Linked DNA regions of Arabidopsis thaliana. The protein of the gene in region 4 interacts with the protein of the main gene of each other region in a pairwise test. Each region holds a gene or a part of one and is shown on either strand. Other genes may lie near its edges. The genes, in order: RXW8, AT1G61610, AT2G28990 and AT2G32380.

Region 1 (7,959 bases), on a different chromosome or scaffold from region 4:
TTTCCATAGATGAACAACTGAAAAATGGCCATCTCATCAAAGAGATTGATAGTTTTAGTTTCTCATACTCTGAGCTCTATAAAGAAGTTCCATTTCTTCTTGCAGTAACTATAAGATGTACATTTTTATCTTGGCAACAAGACTGTACATGTTTCCCCCATATAATTTGTATAGGAATTTTCATTGAAGAAATTATCAAATATCCCAGAAAAACTTACATCTACTTTTCTTCAAGTGAGTGAAAGTATTCCCAGTAACATTGGTTTTGCAGCTGAGCATGCCTACGAGAGAACTCTTGTGCTTAATGCACTGATTTGTTGGAGACTTTGTGATTGAACCAACACATAGGCACTTCACTAGTAAAAACATCTGTCTAGTTCCGTTTGTGAAGTTCGATCTTCTTTGGAGAAAGATGCTCAGGACTTAGTGTCATGTTCTTGACCAGATTCATTGCCTTGGAATCCCCATAACTCTTTAGCTATCGCATCCCCCTCCTCTGAAAAATATAAATCTCATTAGTCTCTAATCAAGTGATATCTATAATCATACACAAACAGTGATATAAACTCGAAACCTGGCTTCAATTTTTCAGGATCTGGTAACTCCTGCTTTTTGAAAGGATTACTACATTCAGCTTTACTCGATGATTTCTGAGAGTGTAATGGTATCTGCGAGTATACATTATGCAATTTTTTATGTAACTCTTCCATCTTTCCTGATATTTCATCAGCTCTGTCCATATCTATGAGAACCTGAAAAGAAACACATCAATCAAGCACCGAGAAGACGCATAAACTGCAGTAGGAACATCAAAGGTTTTGGTTACATTTAATATACCTGGGCAGGATTTTTGTTGAAAATGGGCGCAAACCTCTGCCGACAATACTCACTAAAAAGTAACGTGAGAAGAATTAACGGTATGGTGAAACCCGAAGCAACTGTTGATAGCTTTAATCCGAAAAACCCCAAAGCTATAATCTGTGTCAAGATCAGTGAAAAGATTGTTGTGTTGTGGAAAATAGGCCAGTATTGTCCACCGCTTTCGTACTTCGTAATATACACGTTGAGTATCTGCAAATAGAAACAATTCTGTTGAGCATCTACAAAGGGTTGTCTTTAAAAATATATATCAAGAGTTCTTTTTACTCAATGCATGAGCTTGGCACTACTAATGGCTCTTATCACATTGTACATGACTATAAACATTGCAGAAGCAAAATTCCGAAAAGCACAAATCCAATTTCCATCTAAAACATGCAGGTCACAAAGTAACTAAGCTTTCACAAATTAGGTACAAGTCCATTATGATGCTTTTGGAGAGATTAACTGTGATATTATGTACAAGAGATCAGAGAACACACTTACTTGATTTTTGTATATGAGATATGCAAGGAAAAAGTATATCAGCAAAAACGGCAGTATCAGTGGTGCTATGACTGAATTGGTGAAACCCAGGAGCCCAAACAAAAGCAGCCGAGGAATTTCGGTGTGGTATGGGAACCTAAGTGTTTCATATGACTCATCCTCGTTCTTGGTAACAACTTTTGCTACCAGATTCCAGATAAGAGCCATAGGCTGCATTATTTCACAAGCCAAACTGGCCCAACCAGATGTGAAACAATAGGTCATGAAGAAGCCAGCCTGCATACATGGTTAAAGCCATATTCAAAATCAATGATACAATTTTCATTTTTCCTAATAAATATGAAACACAAGCAACCAGAAAAGCTCAATCCCAAATAATTCCTCCAATGGGCTTTAATATCTCTGATATATAATTTTATCATGGAACGAGGAAAAAGAACAAACTATTAAAGTTCCAGCGCAAGAAAACACTATATCCAATCCGAAAGCTGCAAGATCTTGGCAAAATGTAACCTAGCTAATGTTCAGAGACTGTAGAAACCTGAACATTAGCAAAATTCAAACTTTTGCTCTGAAATGTAAAAGGACTATGGGTAAATTACCTGTGTTGGCACTGCTCTAGCAAGTTGTGCAGGTATGTCTCTGACACTAGAAAAGACATTCAGTTGCCTGATAACAGACCCTGATAATATATTCACGAAGAACACATTCCAAATGGTAAAATATAAGACTTTGATGCAAGCACTCTTCTTCCTTATACTCCGTGAAATACATCCCTCCAAGGCCGAAAAATACATCATCAATGGTGGAACGGCATAGAAAAATAGAATCAAGATCACACTGGGTAAGTACCCTGTGATGACCTGGTTTATAAAGTTCCTGCAAAATGGTTTTGGTGGCCCGATTAACTTGAAAGATGATAAAACAAATCAAGAACATAAATTTTGATTTCTCCAATGGTTTGAAAGCTATAGAGAAGGCTCGTGTGTTCTATACTGCACCGGAGTTCCGCCTACTTTTTAACGCCAATTCTAATATCATGTCCAGAAGAAACAAAACCATATATATATACATGCGTAAGGAACCAGCAGGGCACTCACTTGCTCAAGATGCCTCTTAGAAAAGGAAATGCGTGAGACAGCTGCACTAGTTGAGTCAGCCCTTGAATGAAGGTAACGGGAATAAGAAACACAAACATGAAAGCAACTGCACCAACAAGGGTTGCTATTTTCCGTATCCAAAGTTGTCGATAAGGAATGTTGAGATTCTTCCAGTACACATCATGAGGTTCTGGGGCTAAGTCTGTCACCCATAACATAGGATTTGATGATTGTAGAACCTCCGAAACAACAAGAGCATCATAGCGAGTCTTAAAAAACACAAAAGCAGCTGAACGTTCCTGCAAAACGCAGAAAATTTTGTGGCTTTAGTAAGCTATTCTATATTGTGACTAATTAAAATCAAGCATTGCTACTTCTAATCGCTACCACAAAAGTGAAAAATCTTAGTTAACTATACTGAATTGTCGAATATGGTGCTACAAATCATTAATGATGGTTTAAAACTGTACCGAGTAAACAAAACTATACAAGTCTATGCAGTATCAGACAATCAGACTGCCACTTCCAAAGTTCAATTTGTATCCCATTAAAGTAAAAGAAGTCTTTATCTGTCAGGACCAGGTGAAAAACTGAGAAGAAATGCAGTGGAAACTTCTAAATCAGTTTGTAATGTTAGTTGAAACGATCCTCTCCACTGGACAGAAGAAATAACAGATATCCACATCCTATGCCTAGATCAGGGAAAGACAGAAGAATTCCTTACTTGCTCTGTCGTAGTCGTAGTCATAGTCAACTCACCAAGCTCCATTCCTTTCACACTGTCTGCCTCATTCGATAGGATATGAAAAGAACTTGTGGCTGTAGGTCCTCCACAAAAGGTGCATGGCCTTAAACTCGGTTTACAATTGATTTCAGGAGAAACGTGTTTTAGAGTCTGGCACATCCTCTCCGCATCACGCTGAGACAGAAATTGGAATAATCTAAACGTCACACTTTTTATCTGACATAGAACATTAAATTTCAAATACTTTATCACAAGCACAAACCATCCACATATCATTTACCCAATTTCTACAACATGCTGACAGGTAATAAATGAGAAACTGATGTAGTGATACTGAAATAACCACAGTATCAGAAAGCAGTAGAATGAAAGCCCAGCAGTAGGATACAGACAGAGTTGCTCTAGAAGGTCCTTTCATATTCCCAGAATATGCATCTAAACTGTACCCCTTTTAGCTGATACACGAACTAAATTTCATTATTATATCTACTGTGCTATGTAATATCATCAATCTCTGCATCTAGTCATCAAATAACCCTTTATAACATCCAAGCAGCACATAACAATTCAGAACCATGAAATTTACACCAACTACGAAAGCTATCAACCAAAATGAATACTGCAATAAGAAGTAACACTTAAAGCTGGCAAAATGTTCAAAACTTCAAATCATTTTCACAAAGAGCAATAACAGTTTTTTAAAATAAATCTAGGTGACGGTTTTAATCTGACAAGTAAAGCAAGAGGAAGGTGGCCTGCGTAATAGTTTAGTTAAAAATGACTGTTCCAAGAAATATACGTACCAGCAGTCTCTGAATGATGCCATTATGGTAGACCATTTGGTGGGACACGTAGCTGGACGAGTAGTAGTTTGTGAAGAATTTGCTCAGCGTGTCGCTGTAAGATTGCTCAGGAGACCATGGAATAGCACGGATAAGAACGGTAAATTGACTTGGCTTTGAGGCACATCCAGTAATATGCCCAAGCCTCATTTTAGCTATGGTGCTATACTCCTACAGTATAAAAAAAATGTCAAAAGGTTGGGAAATAAACTAATAAGAAGATACATGGAGGAACCAAGAGTAAGTATTCAAGTATGCTGTATGCATGAGATAAACTAAGGTACGAGGTCCTCACAAAGTAGAGCAGAAGACATGCCGCTGAGGTTATAATGTACAGTGCAAGACAATGAACCCACAGCCTGAGAGCAATAAATGTAATGAGAAAAAATCAGCACTTTACACACTCTGCATAGAGTAACATCTTTCAAAGAGACATAGGTAGAGATAAAAAAAAACATTTACCATTTTGAGCCTTCTTTAAGATTTTCAATTGTAAACACTTCGGATGACTCCAAATGGATTTCCTTATGCACCATCGGTTGCCCATAATAATTAACAGGCAGCACAAAGGCAATGCAAATAACAGCAACTATAAAGAAAATACGAATGCTGCAGAACAAAAAACACAAAGTAAAACAAACACTACAGAACAAAACCAAGAAGCAGAACAAAGAAAAAGCATCTGGGAGAGTTTATTTTCAGTAACCTGAAAATGACCATCCTAAGGAAGACGACAGCATCAAGACCAGCAGCAGCTAATAACTCGTCTTCACTAGTCTCCCATGCTTTCACAAGCCAACTTGGAGACGGCACAAACCTCTCATACCAAAAAGGATCATAACGTCTAGCACCACCACAAACAAGCCTTCGGCCAAAATATACACAGTAATTGGCTGGCTGTTTCCTAAGTATGGAGTAAAGTGATAAAAGAACTATGCATATCGAAATATTAATTCCAGCAGATGTAAGAAGAGCTGATATCTCCATCTTAATCTTAGTTCAACTCCTTCCTGACTAAAAATCGCAGGAAGAGAAGAACTTCATAAGTACGTCGTCTCGTCACAAGATGGCCAACCTAGCAATACAGGAGGTTCTTAGATTGGCAGGAGAAACTGTAAGAAAACATCACAAAAAGAAAAAAGATAAGAACATCGAAATAACAAAAGTCCTGAAATCCAATGCTTAAAAAAACAGATAGGCTAACGAAACACCGCGAAAGAGACTGATAAACAATCGTCGATCAAACGTGTAAGTTGAATCCAAACTATCTTAACACTAACCAAAACTTTCTGCATTTGCATTGCAGATACGAAAAATTGGAAACATGAATCAAATCATAATCAGTACCTAAACTTGCAGAGGAAGATAAGTTGGTTACATACGACCCAAAGATAACAAACAACATAATGCACTGAGATTCAATTTCAAGTTATCAATTTCTGTTTTCCGTTAATCAAAATTACGATTCGCAATTTCAATGGTGCCTAAACAATAAAGTAGAACTACGATAGATGAAAACGCGGAAACGTAGAACAAACAATGAATCAGAGAATCGCATTCCACTAAATCCAGTGAAACAAACACAATTTCGATTCCCAGGGAAATCAATCGAAGCAAAATCATCAAATCCAATTCGTCAGAAAAATTACAGATACAACACGAAGTTGTATAACAGAATAAACCAAATCGAAGAGATTTCAGAAAAAAAAAAAAAAACATGACTTACAGAGAGAAATACCAAAAACTTTGGTTTGACTTCAGAGAATTCGATTGCGAAGAGAACCAGAAGATTCAGAAACCCTAAGAATTCGCAGAGAAGAGAAGAGAAAAAAAAAAAAATGAAACACCGAATTGCTTTTAAAATTCCAATTCCGCGAAGAGTTCGCATTTCCAGTTCATTCAAATCATAACTTAAAATGAAAACATGCAAATAATTAAAATTAAATACAAATGATTAGGCCACGTTGTGTGGCCGGTGAAGAAGGGAGCGACGATTAGGCCACGTGTCGGTTATAAAATGGTTGATGCTCCAAGATTTGATACTATGTGAGAGCGACTACTCTGTGGTCGAATTTATTATGACCGTTGGTTTTGTGATAGAATGGGTAAGATAGCGACACGTGTGGGTGCGTTTTTTTTCACAACGTTCGCTCAAGTGTTAGTTAAAACTGTTATGACTATTGAAAAATTAAAGGAAAGGTGAAGAAGGAATCATGGATTTTGGATTCATGTGTTTCTTGTTGCAAGTGAGATATGCATGAGTATGACATAAAAGTTTTATTCAATATAGTACTACTAGGCCTGGACATTCGGTTAACCATTCGGTTTCGGTTCGGTTGCGCATGGTTTCGGTTATTTCGGTTATAGTAATATAAGAACCATTTTGGATATTTGAGGAATTTTGGTTCGGTTCGATTCGGATATCTTTCGGTTCGGTTCGGTTCGGATATTAAACTTGGTAACCATAAATAAACCAAAACCGAAATAACCGACTAAAAACCGAAACAAAAAAAAAAAATTGACCAATAACCGATATAGAACGTACGTAAAAAAAGATATATTCACAACTCACAAAGATGCAAATATGGTCCATACTCTCCATAATATTAAAATACCTGATTCACAACTCACAAAATTCAACTTGCAAACTAATAAAGAGAAGAACATAGTTAAGTGTCAATACATACAATATATGTGATATATTATCTATCATACATATATGCTTTGGTTATCCTTTGGTTATCGGTTACTAACCTAACCAAAACCGAAACCGAAATCTAAAACATATAATATCCAGCCGGTTATTTTAAGCTATCCAAACCCGAACCGAACCATGTTTTTCGGTTCGGCTCGGTTCGGTTAATCGGTTAGCGGTTCTTTTGCCCAGGCCTAAGTACTGTAGAATAGTTTTTTTTTTTTTTTCTTATGAAAGTAACATATGTATACTATTTTGGGTATTATTATACTAGTATGTTACAAAAGGAATAAAATAGTCTAAAACGTATAAAATTCCACTATTTGATTGTATATTTTTCCGTTGAAAATATTTATCTTTATCCCACCAAATATTATTATAGAAAAAGAATGAATATTTAAAATTTAAGATATGAATACATAGTGAGACATGAATTAAGATGAAAAAAAATTTGAAACAAAAAGATACAATTTTCTTTGATTCCTCAACATCAATAGACTTTGCTCAAATATTTATCGAGTAAATTGTCGACGATAACTTGATAAGCTCTTTCAGATGGATGATAGCTATCCCAAAATATGTATGATGAAGAATTAGAACACGTAAATGGGTTCAATGAGTTACATAAATAGGATATTGTGAGCAGTCCTTTACCGCAACATCCTTTATCGGCTACGTCAAAACCTAAAAGAAATGAGATAATTGGAATAAAATTTAGTTCGACAATAAAAATGAATTATAATATATAGTTTCTATATAGATAAATCTGTTAGATGAACTTACCGTATTTTTTAGGGTGTTGGATCATGTCAAAAAGAGTATCATAAACATTAATGTAAAGGATAACACCATCCAACTCTTTATCTAAAGAATCTAATGCTGGAGAAAGTCTTGCGTTGAATTGTTTTGCCATGTTGTTTAGAGGTTCATTACATCCTCTTGTAAAAAAACCTCCAAAAACTGTTCTTTGTAATGGAACACAACCAACGGGGACTGCACTAAACACTCCAATTTTTCGAGCTCCAAGCTTATGTAATTCCTAATTATCAGTTATAGATAAGATAAAATAGTTAGTGGATATAACAATATATTATTGATTAGTTTATGTATTATTATATATAACTACGAATAAAATACTTACTCTCACGAAATGGACAGCAGAGTCAGCCAAGAAATTGGCATAAGAGGTACGGTCATATCTATGAGCTTGAG
Region 2 (5,611 bases), on a different chromosome or scaffold from region 4:
ACTGAAGAATCCACAAACCATTAGAAAGAATTGTGTTCATTTGAAGCATTTGACAATCTTGATTTCTTTGTTTTTCTTTCGTTGAGAATTATTGATTCAAAAATGAAAAGCATGACAATGTACAAAGGTTTATAGCGTTATCTATGTATTTCACCCTTTGGTTTTTGGGTAGAGCGTATTTCAAACCTGCAGGACTAGTGTTTAAAGTTTTGGTTATAAATGTGTAAAATTTACAAGGGCTTTGAATGTTTCGTAGATTTTGTAAGAGTTTTTGGATTTTGTTTTTCAAAAACTTATTTTCATACCAATCAAGATTTTAAAATTTTGGTTTCCCTACAATTTAGAAAAACTATTTTGTTGTAATTTTCCATTTATGATTTTAGTTTTTTAGTTTTCCTAAAATTTAGGAAATTTAGTTTTTACTTCATCAACGTTATTTATCTCAAAAACTAAAAACCAATTTTTGGGATTTTTAAAACAAATATATAATAACAAAAATCTAAAACTAAAATCTAAAATCTAGAAACTAAAATCTAAATCCAAAAACTGAATCGAAAATCAGCATCCATTCAGGGCCAAGATCTCCAAATTTTACCAGTTGCAAAAATGATGGATGAGAAATATTGTAAAAGTTGATTCATTTTTACATACTTTTTTTATTTATCAATAACGTGAAATTTATTAGTGTTTTTTAAATAACAACTGTCATGTTATTTTAACCGATATCACACTGTTTGATATGAAATCACATTATTTCTTCAAATCAAATGCAAAACACACACACACACCATTTATTTAAGGTTTTGCTATATATATATATATATATTTTTTTTTTTAATAACAAATTTGCTGAAAATTTCTTATCTATAAACCAAAATAAAAATAAAAATAAAAATCTAAGCATATGATAAAGCCATGTTTAAAATGGGTTTGTACCAAACTAGGCTATAAGACGAGGACTTACACGAGTAATAAGTGGTGGGGCAATATAATTCTCCAAAAGTCATGCCTTCGCCAGTATCATGTCACTCACTGTCGGAAAATGTAGTTTATTTGCTTCCTCACACGCATGTCAATGAGTGAATCTGCGCAAGAGGAACTTGTGCTTCGTAATGCAGCTAGATTATATTCATCACAAAATTTGAATTATGCATATTTCCATAATTGCGTTTTGTAAGGTGAAAACGCCACTCAACAATAGAATTTACAGTTTTTCTTCACCAATAAATTTTTGAACTCATAAAAATAAAATTGTACTGTTGTGCCCCAATCTATATTGATTACCATTCTACATTAGTATTTTTATGTATTTAGAATATTTATTTATTTTGGATGTTTTCAACCACCCAAATGAAGAAGGTCGTATTCTCAATAAGAGATAAAAATCAATTGATATATCCTTTTCTTGCCTTAAAAGTCACAATTTTGCACTATAAAATCAAAAGTCTTAAATAAAACGTGAAAGTTCATATTCTTGTCAACACGAATTCGTCGGTTGTCCTTTTCATTCGTTGGTATTTGTTTTTGGAGATGATTTCCACTATTTTCCTCAATTTTAAAGACGACTTTTCTCGTTAAATTGAGAAAGACCAAACTAGTCTACATGAAACTTCGATAGCCACTATTTTTGTTCTTTTCTTTCTTTTCCTTCTTGTTATATACAGATCTCTGAAGCTCAAATCATCTCAAATATGGCAGGATTTAACAGAAACCTTACTTTGGTGACGACTCTTTTGATATTCCATCAACTATGTAGCAACGTATCTTGCTCCACAAGCAACTCATTCACTAGAAACCACACAATACGAGAGGGAGACTCACTGATCAGCGAGGATGAAAGCTTCGAGCTTGGATTCTTCACCCCCAAAAATTCGACGTTAAGGTATGTTGGAATATGGTACAAGAACATAGAACCTCAAACAGTTGTTTGGGTTGCGAATAGAGAGAAGCCGTTGTTGGATCACAAGGGAGCTCTAAAGATTGCAGATGACGGAAATTTGGTGATCGTGAACGGTCAAAACGAAACCATTTGGTCCACAAATGTCGAGCCCGAGTCAAACAACACGGTTGCTGTTCTGTTCAAAACAGGGGATTTGGTTCTGTGTTCAGACTCAGACAGAAGAAAATGGTATTGGGAGAGTTTTAACAATCCAACCGACACTTTCTTGCCCGGTATGAGGGTTCGGGTGAATCCTTCGCTTGGAGAAAATCGCGCATTTATCCCGTGGAAATCCGAGAGTGATCCTTCACCAGGAAAGTATTCAATGGGGATTGATCCTGTGGGAGCACTAGAGATTGTGATTTGGGAAGGGGAAAAGAGAAAATGGCGTAGCGGACCGTGGAATTCGGCTATCTTTACCGGTATACCTGATATGCTCCGTTTCACAAATTATATTTACGGGTTTAAGCTCTCTTCTCCTCCTGATAGAGATGGTAGCGTGTACTTCACGTATGTTGCCTCAGATAGTTCCGATTTCTTGAGGTTTTGGATTAGGCCTGATGGCGTAGAAGAGCAGTTCAGATGGAATAAGGATATCAGGAACTGGAATTTGCTTCAATGGAAACCAAGCACGGAATGTGAGAAGTATAACCGTTGTGGTAATTACAGTGTATGTGATGATAGTAAGGAGTTTGATTCCGGTAAATGCAGTTGCATTGATGGATTTGAGCCGGTTCATCAGGATCAATGGAACAACAGGGACTTCTCAGGTGGCTGCCAAAGAAGAGTTCCTTTGAACTGTAATCAGAGTCTGGTTGCAGGTCAAGAGGATGGGTTTACGGTACTTAAGGGAATAAAGGTGCCTGATTTTGGATCAGTTGTTTTACATAACAACTCAGAGACCTGTAAAGATGTATGCGCAAGGGACTGTTCTTGTAAGGCTTATGCGTTAGTAGTAGGGATCGGATGCATGATTTGGACCCGTGATTTGATCGATATGGAACATTTTGAACGCGGTGGAAACTCTATCAACATCCGGCTAGCGGGTTCTAAACTAGGTTTGGAAAAATGTTTAAGCTATCATATAACATTGTGAAAGATTTAAACATGACTAATCTGTTTCTTTTGTTGTGTATACAGGTGGTGGGAAGGAAAATTCAACACTTTGGATAATTGTTTTCAGTGTTATAGGAGCATTCTTACTAGGATTATGCATTTGGATCTTATGGAAGTTTAAGAAAAGCCTTAAAGGTAAAGTCTCTATTCGTACATAGTCTTGTTTCACAAGAATTAAACTACTGAGACTGTCAATTACTCCATGATCTGCAGCTTTCTTGTGGAAGAAGAAAGATATCACAGTTTCTGATATCATAGAGAACAGAGATTACTCAAGCTCGCCGATCAAAGTTCTAGTAGGGGATCAAGTTGACACACCCGATTTACCAATATTCAGTTTTGACAGCGTAGCCTCAGCTACTGGAGATTTCGCTGAAGAGAACAAGCTTGGACAGGGCGGATTCGGTACTGTATATAAGGTAGAAAATGATTTTTTTTTTCTGACAATAATACTGGATAATAAAACTTTGCTTTGTATGCAAAAACTTATGTGTTATGTTTGGACAGGGAAACTTTTCAGAAGGAAGAGAGATTGCAGTGAAGAGACTATCAGGGAAATCTAAACAAGGACTAGAGGAGTTCAAGAACGAGATCTTACTAATCGCGAAACTCCAGCATCGGAATCTTGTTAGATTACTAGGATGTTGCATTGAAGACAATGAGAAGATGCTTCTCTATGAATATATGCCAAACAAGAGTTTGGACCGCTTTCTTTTTGGTATGTTTTTTTCTAAACAATTTCAATTAAAATGTTTTGAAAATGTTCGGATTGAGTATATAATGACTCTGCGCAGATGAGAGTAAACAAGGAAGTTTGGACTGGAGAAAACGATGGGAGGTCATTGGAGGAATCGCGAGGGGATTACTTTACTTACATAGAGACTCAAGACTAAAGATCATTCACCGTGACCTAAAAGCTAGCAATATCTTGCTAGACACGGAAATGAATCCAAAGATCTCGGATTTCGGTATGGCTAGGATATTCAACTACCGACAAGACCATGCCAACACAATCCGAGTCGTCGGCACATAGTAACTTAACAAACCTCTTTATCTCCTCTAAATTAAACAATATCGAACTCTATCAATTTTTAATGATTTTGATGTTCAACAAGTGTAGTGGTTATATGGCTCCGGAGTATGCAATGGAAGGGATATTCTCAGAGAAATCAGATGTGTATAGCTTTGGAGTGTTGATATTGGAGATTGTGAGTGGAAGAAAAAACGTTAGCTTTCGAGGGACTGATCATGGAAGTCTCATTGGTTATGTACGTCTCTTTTCTTTAACCATAAATTTTCAGGTCTAACTAAAATATTCGAATATTTGTTACTAATGAATGTTCTAAACGGAAAAAAAAAAATAAGGCGTGGCATTTATGGAGCCAAGGAAAGACAAAAGAGATGATAGATCCAATTGTGAAGGACACTAGAGACGTGACGGAAGCGATGAGATGCATCCACGTGGGTATGTTGTGTACACAAGACTCGGTCATTCACAGACCAAACATGGGTTCGGTTTTGTTGATGTTGGAGAGTCAAACCAGTCAACTTCCACCCCCGAGACAGCCGACCTTCCACTCGTTCTTGAACTCTGGTGACATTGAACTCAACTTTGACGGTCACGATGTTGCCTCCGTTAACGATGTTACTTTCACAACAATTGTTGGTAGATGACTCACTGACCAGAAGTTATTTTTCCCCAAAACGCTCTTTGACTATCCATTTGGTCTCGAACTCTTTTCTCCATAGTTTTCAACTTTTTATACATAATTAAATTCTTCGTTGAAAATATTATAATACATGTACATTGACGATGAAAAACTAATCGGATTTGTACACAACATACTTTTAGCAACAAAAGAGAAGAAGCTCAACAACATACTTAATTGTGAAGAAAAAAGCGTTGTTGTTCGAACATGAATTGGAGAAGTTGGAATATGGACAAAGGTAGTGGCATCGAAGGAGGAATTTCCAGTGATTTGAGATTTAATGAGTTTTAAGATGATTTTGTTGAATTTTAGGGAATTAGAAAATTTGTTATTAAATTTATAAAAATCTTCCCTTAAATCATATGATTTGGACATTTGTATTCTTAATTTTTTTTTTTTTGACATCTCACATATTTCTTTTTTAAAAAACTGTAAAACCATAAAAAAAAAAAAATTATTTACGGTTTCTATATGATTATAGCTTTTATAAAACTAAAAACCGTAAAACCAAAAAACCGAAGTGAAACCAAACCGAAAAACGGTATGCCCATCCCTAGGGCTAGTAATGAAATCAACACTCTTGAAGTGGAGTTATCTACATTTTTATGTTTGATTATAAATTATATTTTTCCACCCATTTGTAAAAATCCTATTTAAAAGAGAAAATTTTCATTTATAACTAAGTTCTCATTTGTGAACAATGTTGGTTGATTTGATTCTACATTTTAAAATTAATAATCCAATAACACTTGAGTTTTACAAACTTTTTAAATTCATGTTTGAATAACACAAGATTTTAATACAAATCACACCAAAACCTTTATTCAAGATTTTATTTTACCTATCT
Region 3 (7,576 bases), 1.3 Mb from region 4:
TTCCCACAAAATACGTCTCTCCTCCACAAAATTTGAAGCATAAATAAAAGAACAAAAGAATTCTTCTTCTTTACCTTCCAACAGAATCGAACATGTTATCATTTGACTACTCTTAAATACCGGAGTTAGTCGAGCATTGTCCCTCCAAACAACCCAAATGCGGCCTAACCGATGTGATTCATAATTAGTTATAGACGACCAACCACTAAAAATAGACGAAAGTAGTTCAGCTGATCTGCCCTCCTTGACTCTCGTCTCCAGAAGACAACCAAATTGCATAGAACTGTGATTCACCCAACTTTTGATAATGGAATGTTTAGAAGATTTATTTAGACCACGGACATTCCAAAAGAAACCCGACATAAAAATTATTTCTTTTTATGAGCCCTATGACCTGAAACACTAGGGTTACCCTTCGTGTTTTGATTCGCAGAGCTTTTGACCACCTTATGCTGAGACTTTGAGATTCGTGGGATGTACGGACGAGTCCCTTGAACACCAACTGAATCTGAATTATCATTTAATTGTTGGGAGAGAACAACAATTTCTCCTTCCTCATGACCGTTTGTGTCAGCCGTGTCCTCCTCCACTGCTAGGACATCAAAACGAGAAGGAGACGCATGATTAACTACTTCTTGAGGTTGAGGACTCCTCTGCCTGCCTACCTTAGCAGGCGATACCGTGTGCCAGGGACCTTCGTCCTTCAAATTTTCCTCGTTTTCCTCTGCAACTTCCTTTCCCTTATTCTGTAAAACAGTCGGATTCTTCATTGGAACTTTCTGAGTGTGAGAATCACCGTTTAGCGTTTTTGTCAAAGTAGCCGAAGGAGATTTCGATAGTATTTCGAGAGGTTTTTCTTTCATGAGAGGAGGCTCTGTTTTATCCTCTGTTTCTATCTCCGTTGGTGTGGATAGCTGATTGGGTGATGGACGCGTTAGACAAACCTCTTGTATATGTCCCCACTTAGAGCATGAAGAGCATCTCGGCGGCAACCAAGGATACTTATATTCGACCATTGCATCAACGCCAGTTTCAGATTTAAAGCGGAATTGTTTTGGCATTTCCTGTGTTAAATCTGCTTCTACAAATACCTTAGCTTCCTCAAAACTGTTGCACAGAACTGTGTCAGGGTGAAGCTTTTTTGGTTCCCCAATAGGACTTGCAAGAAAACTCAGACCCTTCCAAGTAAACATTGAGCGTGGAACATTTTTAATGGTGATCCACATTGGCATTGTTTTAATTTCTGGCTGAGCATCCTCAGCAACCGGGGACCATTTAGAAACGATCATAGGCATGTCAGCTATGTTCCACATTCCTCTGCGAAGAACCCTAGCTCGGACTGAACTCTCTCTGATTCGGAATTTGATTGTTTTAGTGTCTACCACATATGCGTCAATCTTTACCGTCTTGTCTCCAAGTGGCCAGATCTTGTTCACAATAACGTGAACTTTTGCAATATGCGGAGATATTTGTGGAAACCGCCCTATGAGCAAATCATCCCACAATGGTGTTGAATCTTCAAAGATTTCATTTGGGACTTGGACAATCGAATCACCGTTGACCATTGTTACGTTGAATTCATGCTTCGAAAGGGTTGGTCTATTCTGAACAATTGATGAGTATGATGGTTTGGTCGTTTCTGGGGAAGCTTCTGAACTTTTCGATGTGCTCTCCACCACCATCGCCGTCGACATGATGGGGGAAGACGGCGGAAAAGCCGCCAGATCTGCCAGATTGGGACACACGGTAGTGAAACCCTAAATCGCCTTCAAAATCGCCCTGCCACGTCAGCCCTAATTTTTTACCTTTGATTGATTGGTCTATGATTAGTTTGCCGCTGAAAAAATCAACAAAATATAATGTGTCAGTGAATAACATGATTTTTCTTTTTAATCAAAAAACATGATCTTTGTATACTAATTCTGAAACTTAATTATATATATTCGATCCAATCTAGTAAACTAGTTTATAGGACGGGATCCAAACGAAATACTTATCCACGAAAGAAACCTTTATATATCTTTGTGCTCGAAAGTTTTCTCATTCGTTATTTTGGTGGCTGACTACTAAATGAAGATATACCAAATGATTTTTCTTCACTCAAGCAATTTAAGCACATAGACAAAGTAAGATCATCTGGCGATAAACCATACATTCGTGGAGGAAATATTCCTACACATGACGAGTCTCCTGAACATATACAACTATTCAACACCAGATTGATTATTTCCACGATCATTATTTAATTTTCTACCCGGAGTTGACTTTTGTATATTTCATTCCAACTTATACATGAGGTATCTCTCAGTTCCATATCTTTTGCAGTTTTCCCTAAGCAAGTCTTTGTTTTTTCTTGAGTACTAGAGAAACCGGATAGTGATCGAGAGAGAACATGAAGATTCACCTTTTGTTGGCCATGATTGGAACCTTTGTCGTTATAATTGGAGCCCAGGATCAAGAAGGTAATGATATATACCATCTCTTTCTTGTTTATAAATCAATCCTTTGACTTGTGATATGTTATATAAGAATGTATCAATATCACTTTTCCCATTTATTGCTTTTATATTTGAACAGGTTTCATCAGTTTAGATTGTGGATTACCTAGTGACGAATCTCCTTACGATGATTCGTTTAACGGATTAACATTCACATCGGATTCCACTTTCATCCAAACAGGAAAAATTGATAGTGTCGATAAAGATCTTAACATAAACTTATCAAAACAATATTTGACTCTTAGATACTTCCCAGAAGGAAAACGTAATTGTTATAGTCTTGATGTCAAGCGTGGCACAACTTATCTCATCGTGGTTAGCTTTGTATATGGAAATTATGATGGTCTTAACCGTGATCCAAACTTCGATATCCATCTTGGTCCCAATAAGTGGAAAAGAATAGATTTGGATGGAGAGAAAGAAGGTACAAGAGAAGAGATCATACACAAAGCCAGGTCAAACTCTTTGGATATTTGTCTTGTTAAGACAGGAGAAACTTTGCCAATAATTTCAGCCATAGAAATACGGCCACTAAGGAATAATACGTATGTTACACAATCTGGTTCGCTGATGATGTCTTTCCGGGTTTATCTTAGCAATTCAGATGCATCTATAAGGTAAGTCAATCTATTTGAAGCATTCAATGTGACGTTTTTCTTTTGAATAAAATTTAACATTATTCTTTTAAAAAATGTGAGGTTTTTCTCTCTTTTTTTTTCTGGAGAAGATATGAATGAGGGGATATGTTGACTTTACTTGTGTTAAAAACATCATTGTTGAATGATGTGTTCAAAATTTTAAGACTCCAACGTAACTACATTATGCCAAAACTATATGGCAAGTCATTGTAACAATTGAACAAAGAACTAAGAACAACGAACTAGAAATAAAAGATACTAATATGAGCTAAGAAAACAAATTTTTTTTTTCTTTTTTTTGTTCACAATTAAAACTAAATTAATTAATTGAAAGAAAATAAGCAAGAACCAAACAACCAAATCAAACATACAAAAGACTAACATTATTGTAAATCAAACTAAACAAGCAACGATAAATGAAATTGAATGATTGAATTCATTATTAAAAAAACGAGCCAAGGTGATTGACTCGGATAGTTGCCAACTAACTTAGTTTTTGGTATCTTAGTTTCATAGACTAGTATTTGGCTAATACAATTTACTTATTAATTTATGTGGCTAATAAAATTTATTGTAGGTATGCTGATGACGTCCATGATCGTATTTGGTCTCCATTCAACGGATCTTCACATACACATATAACAACTGATCTCAATATAAACAACTCAAATGCATATGAGATTCCAAAAAATATACTCCAAACTGCTGCCATACCAAGAAACGCCAGTGCGCCGCTGATTATTACGTGGGATCCACTACCCATTAATGCGGAGGTATACTTGTACATGCACTTTGCGGAGATTCAAACCCTTGAAGCCAACGAGACGAGGCAGTTTGACGTTATCTTGAGAGGAAACTTTAATCATTCAGGATTTAGTCCAACCAAGTTAAAGGTATTTACATTATACACAGAAGAACCAATGAAATGTGGTTCAGAAGGTTGTTATTTACAGCTAGTAAAAACACCGAACTCAACTCTGCCACCTCTGATCAACGCTATTGAGGCATACAGTGTTATCGAGTTCTCACAATTGGAAACAAGTCTTAGTGATGGTACGTACCTCTCAGCTTTCAATATTACAGGAATGTAACTTATATTATAAAGTATAAGCTATGATATTGATTCTTACATTATATTATAAAGTATGATATTGATTGTTACGTTCTCTTAATAATTGTGTCAGTGGACGCTATCAAGAACATCAAAAATACTTATAAGCTGAATAAAATCACTTGGCAAGGAGATCCATGTCTCCCTCAAGATTTGTCGTGGGAAAGTATTAGATGCACCTACGTAGATGGCTCCACTTCACCAACAATCATTTCCTTGTAATGTCATTCACAAACTTACTCTTTAATTTAAAATTTAAATATCTAAATATTTTGTATGTGTTTTTGTATTATTAGAGATTTGTCGAAAAGTGGATTAAATGGGAGTATACCCCAAATTTTACAAAATTTCACGCAATTACAAGAACTGTAAGTATCTCTACTGTTGATCACCTGAACCAATAATGATTTATTTGGACAGAATATGTAAGACAATTTCTTTTGTTTGTGCATATAACCACAGGGACTTATCAAATAATAGCTTGACTGGACCGGTGCCTATCTTCCTTGCCAACATGAAAACGTTATCTTTAATGTAAGCTATCTAAAAAGCATAAATGAACATTTTGACCTGCGTATGTATGTATATATAATGGTTATCTTTGTCTCAACAGAAACTTAAGTGGGAACAATCTCAGTGGTTCAGTTCCTCAAGCTCTTCTTGACAAAGAAAAAGAAGGACTTGTGTTAAAGTAAGATTTCCTTTTCCATAGAGGGAATGCATTTACTAATCATATAGTAACAAAGTAGAGGAACTTCATTTTTGGAGACTATTTAACTGCTAGATCTTTCTTAATTAAGAGAGTTCATGTCGATTAAATTATCGCAAAATATGGTACCTGACAGTTCGATTATTGCCTTTCCTATGCAAGCTATTTACAATTTCAAAATATGTCATATTCATTGTAGACTTGAAGGAAATCCAGATTTGTGCAAATCCAGTTTTTGCAATACCGAAAAGAAAAATAAATTCTTGCTCCCGGTTATTGCATCAGCTGCCTCTTTGGTTATTGTAGTTGTGGTTGTGGCTCTTTTTTTTGTCTTCCGAAAGAAGAAGGCCAGCCCTTCAAGTAAGTTATGAGCCATTAATAATTTGTTTACCTGCTATAAAGCAATGCATATAGTTAGCATATAACCAAATATACTATCATATGTAGATCTACATGCTCCACCAAGTATGCCTGTATCGAATCCCGGGCACAATAGTCAATCAGAATCATCATTCACATCGAAAAAAATTAGGTTTACTTACTCTGAGGTTCAAGAAATGACAAATAACTTCGATAAAGCTCTCGGTGAAGGAGGATTTGGAGTCGTGTATCATGGTTTTGTTAATGTTATTGAACAAGTAGCAGTTAAATTGCTATCACAATCATCTTCTCAAGGCTATAAGCATTTCAAGGCAGAGGTACCCTTTTTCTAGTAATTCTCAATAGATATCCAATTGATTTGTATATCTCTAAGAGTGTTGGATGATGGATGATTGGTTAGGTGGAACTCCTTATGAGAGTTCACCATATAAATTTGGTGAGTCTTGTTGGGTATTGTGATGAAGGAGAACACTTGGCTCTTATTTATGAATACATGCCAAATGGAGACTTAAAGCAACATTTGTCAGGTAATATCACATATATAATTGTTTTCTTAATAAAACCTAACCATGATATAATTTTTTTTTCTGAATAATTAAAGATCATAACTAAATTGATATGAAGTGTGTTTAATTGATACAGGAAAGCATGGCGGATTCGTCCTGAGCTGGGAAAGTAGACTAAAAATAGTTTTGGATGCAGCACTAGGTATTCATTAAACTTTAAGACAAATGTTTAGTTAATAATTACAGCTTTTATGGGTATTAGTATGGCCTCGACCGGATCAGAAAGGAACCATATGATGATATCGAAATTAATCTCCATTTTCCAATAAACGATGGTATTAAATTTAATATGTAGGATTGGAGTATTTACATACTGGATGTGTACCACCAATGGTTCACAGAGATATCAAAACTACGAATATACTTCTAGATCAACATCTCCAAGCTAAATTAGCTGATTTTGGGCTTTCAAGATCTTTTCCCATCGGAAATGAGAAAAATGTGTCAACTGTTGTTGCTGGTACTCCTGGATATCTTGATCCTGAGTGAGTATAACTTCATATGTTAGTTCCAAAATCACCATTCCTTTTTTTTACTTTACAATCACAACAATTTCTTGTTTTGCAGGTATTATCAAACAAATTGGTTGACAGAAAAGAGTGATATATACAGTTTCGGAATTGTACTGTTAGAGATAATTTCAAACCGTCCTATAATCCAGCAATCCCGTGAAAAGCCTCACATAGTGGAATGGGTCAGTTTTATGATAACAAAAGGAGATCTTAGAAGTATTATGGATCCAAACCTCCACCAAGATTATGATATTGGTTCTGTCTGGAAGGCCATTGAATTAGCAATGTCATGTGTGAGTCTTTCTTCTGCAAGACGACCAAACATGTCTCGAGTTGTGAATGAATTAAAAGAATGTCTTATATCCGAAACCTCTAGGATAGGTGAGGGACGAGACATGGAATCAAAAGGTTCAATGGAATTCAGCAGAGACATTTATAATGAGGTAATACCTCAAGCTCGCTAGCTCGTCAAAATTTATTCTTGCTGGTTTTTCTTCTCATGAATATTCAAATTTGTGTGTTTCAAGAGTGTCTTTCGCCAATAATAACTAAGGCTTTCACTAATAACATGTAATACTGATGTTGAATTGTCGTAGTGTGATATATATTTTGTGAAATACATATGGTGAAATTTATTGAAATTATTTCATGAATTTGTAACCCACAACTAATTCTCGTCTTTGTTTCTATCTCAAGAAATGCATTAGGTTGTTCCCACTTTCGGTATTTTGAAAACCAAAGGAAGAGTTGAATATACCAAAACTTATGTATTTCCTTCAAAACTTAAGAGCTGTTTATATTTCCTTCAAAAGAAGATAAATAAAGAAGATATAAATGGTCTAATAAACCAAAAGTTGGTCAAAATTTAGTCTAAATATAAAACATGAACGTAATAGAACTTGTTTACAAGCGTATATCTCGTTGATCCTGAGTTTAATAAGATGTATAATAGTAAATGTTACGAAGAACTCCAATAATGAAATATCACAAGACAGATTTATCTTGTGGAGAGGGTTCATCATGTAAATGTTTTTTTTTTTTTCACCATGTAAAGTTGGTAATTCTTGTTGTATATTGTTTTAACGAAGACACACTTCGACCTAGTCTAGTACACAACCAGTGGAGATTTAAAACAACATCTATCATTCAAATTGGACAAAG
Region 4 (3,430 bases):
TATTTCAGTTGAGTCTTTGGTTTCCTTGTCATTGTTGGACTTGGAACCTTTTGTTATTTCATTCGAGTCTTTGGTTTCCTTGTCATTGTTGGACTTGGAAACCTTTTGTTATTTCAGTTGAGTCTGTTTGTTTCCTTGTCATTGTTGGACATGGAACCTTTCGTTGTTTCAGTTGAGTCTGTTTGTTTCCTTGTCATTGTTGGACTTGGAAACCTTTATGAAGTTATTGAGTACTCTTTTTCTCTATTTGAGTTTCAAATTTGTTTTTTGTTTTCTTTCTATTGACTTTAGATCTTCTTCTAGAGTATGGATATTTCTTTTGTATTGTTTTTGTTGTCTATTTCTGTAGTTTGGTTTATCAAAACTTCACACCTTTTCTTCCCAAGACTCTCTGTTTTGCAAGAGAGCTTAAAGAGTTTTTGGCTGTTGCGCGTTGCCTATGGTTTTAGATTGACCAAACCCAACAAGACTAAGAAATCTGTGCTGAACATGTAGACCTTTTGGGAATGGGAATCACAACGTGTGATTTGTCAAGACCCAACAATGTAGACCTTTTGGTGAAGTGAACTGTAAAATATTTTCAGTTTAACTTCATTTAATTTCAAACAAGAACACAGATGACATGATATTGCTAAAAAAACAGGAAGAATACATCACAAAGGTTCAAAATTTTCTGTTTGAAAAGCCAAATCCACCTATAGCAGAAATTCTCAGAGTCAAAAGATACACTTGCTGATCATCAAGTGTACCTCAAGCACGCTTTCTCCTGGCCAAAATAGCAGGTCTCTTGCCAACAGCTCCACCACTTTTGTTGGATTGAGAAAGAAGACCACGAAGAAGAGCTAGAATACCAACACCCATGAATGGCACATACATCATCAACAATTTCTCAGATGCCTTCCCTGATCCTATCATCTCTCCCAGTATAGCAGCCTAATAAGTAATGAATACTCAATATCAGATTCTTCATCACAAGGCATATTAGCAATGAATGCGGAAAGATTCACATTGCAGAACAATAAGTATAAGTTCGATAACGTTACTAATTCTAATAACCATGAAACTAGTCATTCAACATAGTAGAAACTCAAAATCTCTCTCCCTCATCAACATACAATGTTGTGATTTTAGGGAACCAAATGAAATCTTGAATCAAGCATTATACAAATTTCACTAGTCTGCTCCTAGTTCATACTTTGTAATGGTCCAGTTTCACAGACTTTAACATTGATCACCAATAATCATTTCTCCTATAATCTTCATTAATCTCAGATTTCAGATCCATAAATCAACAAAATCTTACTCTAAATCAAACACGTTATATCCAAATTGATCAGAAACAGCGAGATTAAGATCTAAATGTACCATAGAAGTCACGACGGAAGCTCCGTACACCATTGAGGTGGTACCAAACCACGATTTCCCAGCGAGAATTGCGTAGACGTTGACGATTGAGAGCGGCCAAAGAAGCAAAAGCTCATGCCAGACGAGTCCGACTAGGAAATGCGGCTTCTCTTTGACTAGATAATCTCCAAATTCATCAATGTACCAGCGATTCAGATCGACGATAAACGCCGGGAAGATATCGCCGGGAAGACTCGTTTGACCGTCGATAAGCGGCGCAATTACCGCCATGAGAGCAAAGTATAAGAAGAGAACCGCATCGATCAACTTGCAAAATGCTCCCATTTTTTTTCTTCTTCTCCTTCTTCAATGGATTTTGTTTTTCTCTCTGCTTTAATCTGTCGTTGACCGCGGAAACGAAGAGCCGGCTACTTAATAATTGGCCAAATCTAAATTAAAGCGAACCGGTTTAAACGGCTACCATTTTTCCGGTTTGATTCAGTGGTAAATTCGAACACTACCGGGCCTTAGGCCCATAATCTTCCTCGGAGGATGTATATAGTATCCAGAAAAAATAGTCACCCGAAGGACTACACTAATTAAGAGAGCCCATGATCTGTTACAAAATCTTAAGTTCTAAACATTTGAATAAGTTTCACATCCTCTACATAGTCTAGAAAAATGTGAACTCTACGGTTCTAATAACTTTCGACTCTTGAATTTGCAGATGTTTTATTTTTTATTTTTCAGGGAGTCTAAAGACATGATCATTTCAAAATTCCTTATCTCTCACGCCTTGGAGGAATCATATTCGTAAACACACTTGCAAGTTACAACCTTGCATTGCCTTAAGCAAATTCTTTAGCAAGGTACATTTCTTAGTGTTACGTTTTAGATCTTTTAAAATGTTGAGACTACTTGGTATTGAAACCATGACTCAGTTCACTTGTTCGTCTTGCAAGATGGTAGGGAAATTGTTTTGCATTTTTATCTCTATCTATGTAATAAATCTATGTACCTTTCTAAGTGTAATGTTATATCTGCAGTCATTAAACAAATTGTGTAACTCGTTATTATATATCTCACTGTGGAGTTTCGTGATCTTTCGACTGCGAATTCTCAGCTGAACTTTGGCCATCTTTGAGTTTCTTACTGCTCTTCTCCTTAAGCATCTCCTTAATCTCTGCTTCTCTCTTATCAACAACTTTGATCAAATCCTTGAAACTCACTGCTCTCAAACTTTTCCCTCTAGAAGAACCAGCCTCCTCGCTCCTCGCCTGTACTTCATCACTCTCTTCTGGTCTTAACCGTTGGTATTGCCAGAAAACTTTCCAGCAGAAGAGTGTGAGTGCAATGAACCAAACGACGCCACATATTAGGAAGAGTCCCCAGAAACTCTGTACCGATATTTGATAGTTTTCTGTATCTGAAATCTGCATTGTACATTCGTGGTCGTAGGTAAGCCATTTCTTGCGGATTTTCTCGAGTTTTCCTTCTTCAGCCAGTTGCAGGATCGCTGTCGACATGTCCACAGCTAGAGGAGAGTCTCTCTGGAACGCCTGCAAGAATCGAGATCCATTAAGCAAAGTTTTAACAGAGACTGATCTTAAAAAATTGAAGTTGGTTTTCACATACAAATCCCCAGCCTGTCCGAGTGAATTCCTGTCCAACTGTTCGAAACTTGCAGTTGCTGTTTGACAAGAGAGCTTTAATGTAAGGAAGCTCGTCGACAATGGCTGCCACGCCACCGCCTCTGGGACCACGTTGAAGAGCAGAGAGATATTCTTCTTCGTCTTTAAGCGGAATGATTCTTGATGGAGCTATGTTAAGTTCATTGACCAGAAATTTCCACGCAAAGGTACCATCTTGGACTCCAATGGGTTCGTTGCTTGCTATTAAAGTGTCCATTCCTTCTATCCGAGATGTTAGCTGTTGAACGGTGAGGATTGAAGTGAGACTGGCTGTGTAGCTTGAGTTGATGATTAGAACCACAAATAACCATACGAGTAGCACAAACCTTCCCAACGTGCTCACCGTATTCTCCCCTGAAGATCAACAAAGGAAGAAGAATAAAACACCTTGCGAC

Evidence for each region.
Region 1: the proteins of AT2G32380 (region 4) and RXW8 interact in a protein complementation assay, tested with the Arabidopsis thaliana proteins (one large-scale study listed by BioGRID).
Region 2: the proteins of AT2G32380 (region 4) and AT1G61610 interact in a protein complementation assay, tested with the Arabidopsis thaliana proteins (one large-scale study listed by BioGRID).
Region 3: the proteins of AT2G32380 (region 4) and AT2G28990 interact in a protein complementation assay, tested with the Arabidopsis thaliana proteins (one large-scale study listed by BioGRID).

The regions. Positions count from the first base shown.
Region 1 is NC_003070.9:21,730,623-21,738,581, reverse strand, and holds the start of RXW8 (GDSL-like lipase/acylhydrolase superfamily protein), read right to left. Parts: upstream 6,017-7,959; 5' UTR 5,779-6,016; intron 5,165-5,778; exon of another isoform or gene 5,128-5,164; 5' UTR 5,040-5,127; coding exon 4,759-5,039; exon of another isoform or gene 4,662-4,758; coding exon 4,515-4,661; intron 4,412-4,514; coding exon 4,348-4,411; intron 4,224-4,347; coding exon 4,014-4,223; intron 3,385-4,013; coding exon 3,190-3,384; intron 2,765-3,189; coding exon 2,466-2,764; intron 2,245-2,465; coding exon 1,968-2,244; intron 1,642-1,967; coding exon 1,366-1,641; intron 1,072-1,365; coding exon 838-1,071; intron 753-837; coding exon 575-752; intron 497-574; coding exon 417-496; 3' UTR 1-416. Other genes in the region: AT1G58525 (GDSL-like lipase/acylhydrolase superfamily protein), read right to left, coding at 7,238-7,410, 7,531-7,786, 7,889-7,959. UniProt on the Arabidopsis thaliana protein: Acts as an osmosensitive calcium-permeable cation channel.
Region 2 is NC_003070.9:22,731,781-22,737,391, forward strand, and holds AT1G61610 (S-locus lectin protein kinase family protein), read left to right. Parts: upstream 1-1,578; 5' UTR 1,579-1,691; coding exon 1,692-2,997; intron 2,998-3,079; coding exon 3,080-3,190; intron 3,191-3,268; coding exon 3,269-3,474; intron 3,475-3,562; coding exon 3,563-3,773; intron 3,774-3,849; coding exon 3,850-4,087; intron 4,088-4,175; coding exon 4,176-4,323; coding exon of another isoform or gene 4,324-4,362; exon of another isoform or gene 4,363-4,420; coding exon 4,421-4,729; 3' UTR 4,730-5,078; downstream 5,079-5,611.
Region 3 is NC_003071.7:12,452,663-12,460,238, forward strand, and holds AT2G28990 (Leucine-rich repeat protein kinase family protein), read left to right. Parts: upstream 1-1,974; 5' UTR 1,975-2,392; coding exon 2,393-2,462; intron 2,463-2,577; coding exon 2,578-3,115; intron 3,116-3,713; coding exon 3,714-4,189; intron 4,190-4,320; coding exon 4,321-4,465; intron 4,466-4,543; coding exon 4,544-4,615; intron 4,616-4,709; coding exon 4,710-4,781; intron 4,782-4,860; coding exon 4,861-4,938; intron 4,939-5,155; coding exon 5,156-5,316; intron 5,317-5,403; coding exon 5,404-5,654; intron 5,655-5,737; coding exon 5,738-5,864; intron 5,865-5,979; coding exon 5,980-6,045; intron 6,046-6,198; coding exon 6,199-6,388; intron 6,389-6,470; coding exon 6,471-6,879; 3' UTR 6,880-7,043; downstream 7,044-7,576.
Region 4 is NC_003071.7:13,746,042-13,749,471, forward strand, and holds AT2G32380 (Transmembrane protein 97, Putative), read right to left. Parts: upstream 1,770-3,430; 5' UTR 1,690-1,769; coding exon 1,366-1,689; intron 934-1,365; coding exon 751-933; 3' UTR 525-750; downstream 1-524. Other genes in the region: GLR3.5 (glutamate receptor 3.5), read right to left, coding at 2,427-2,903, 2,980-3,389.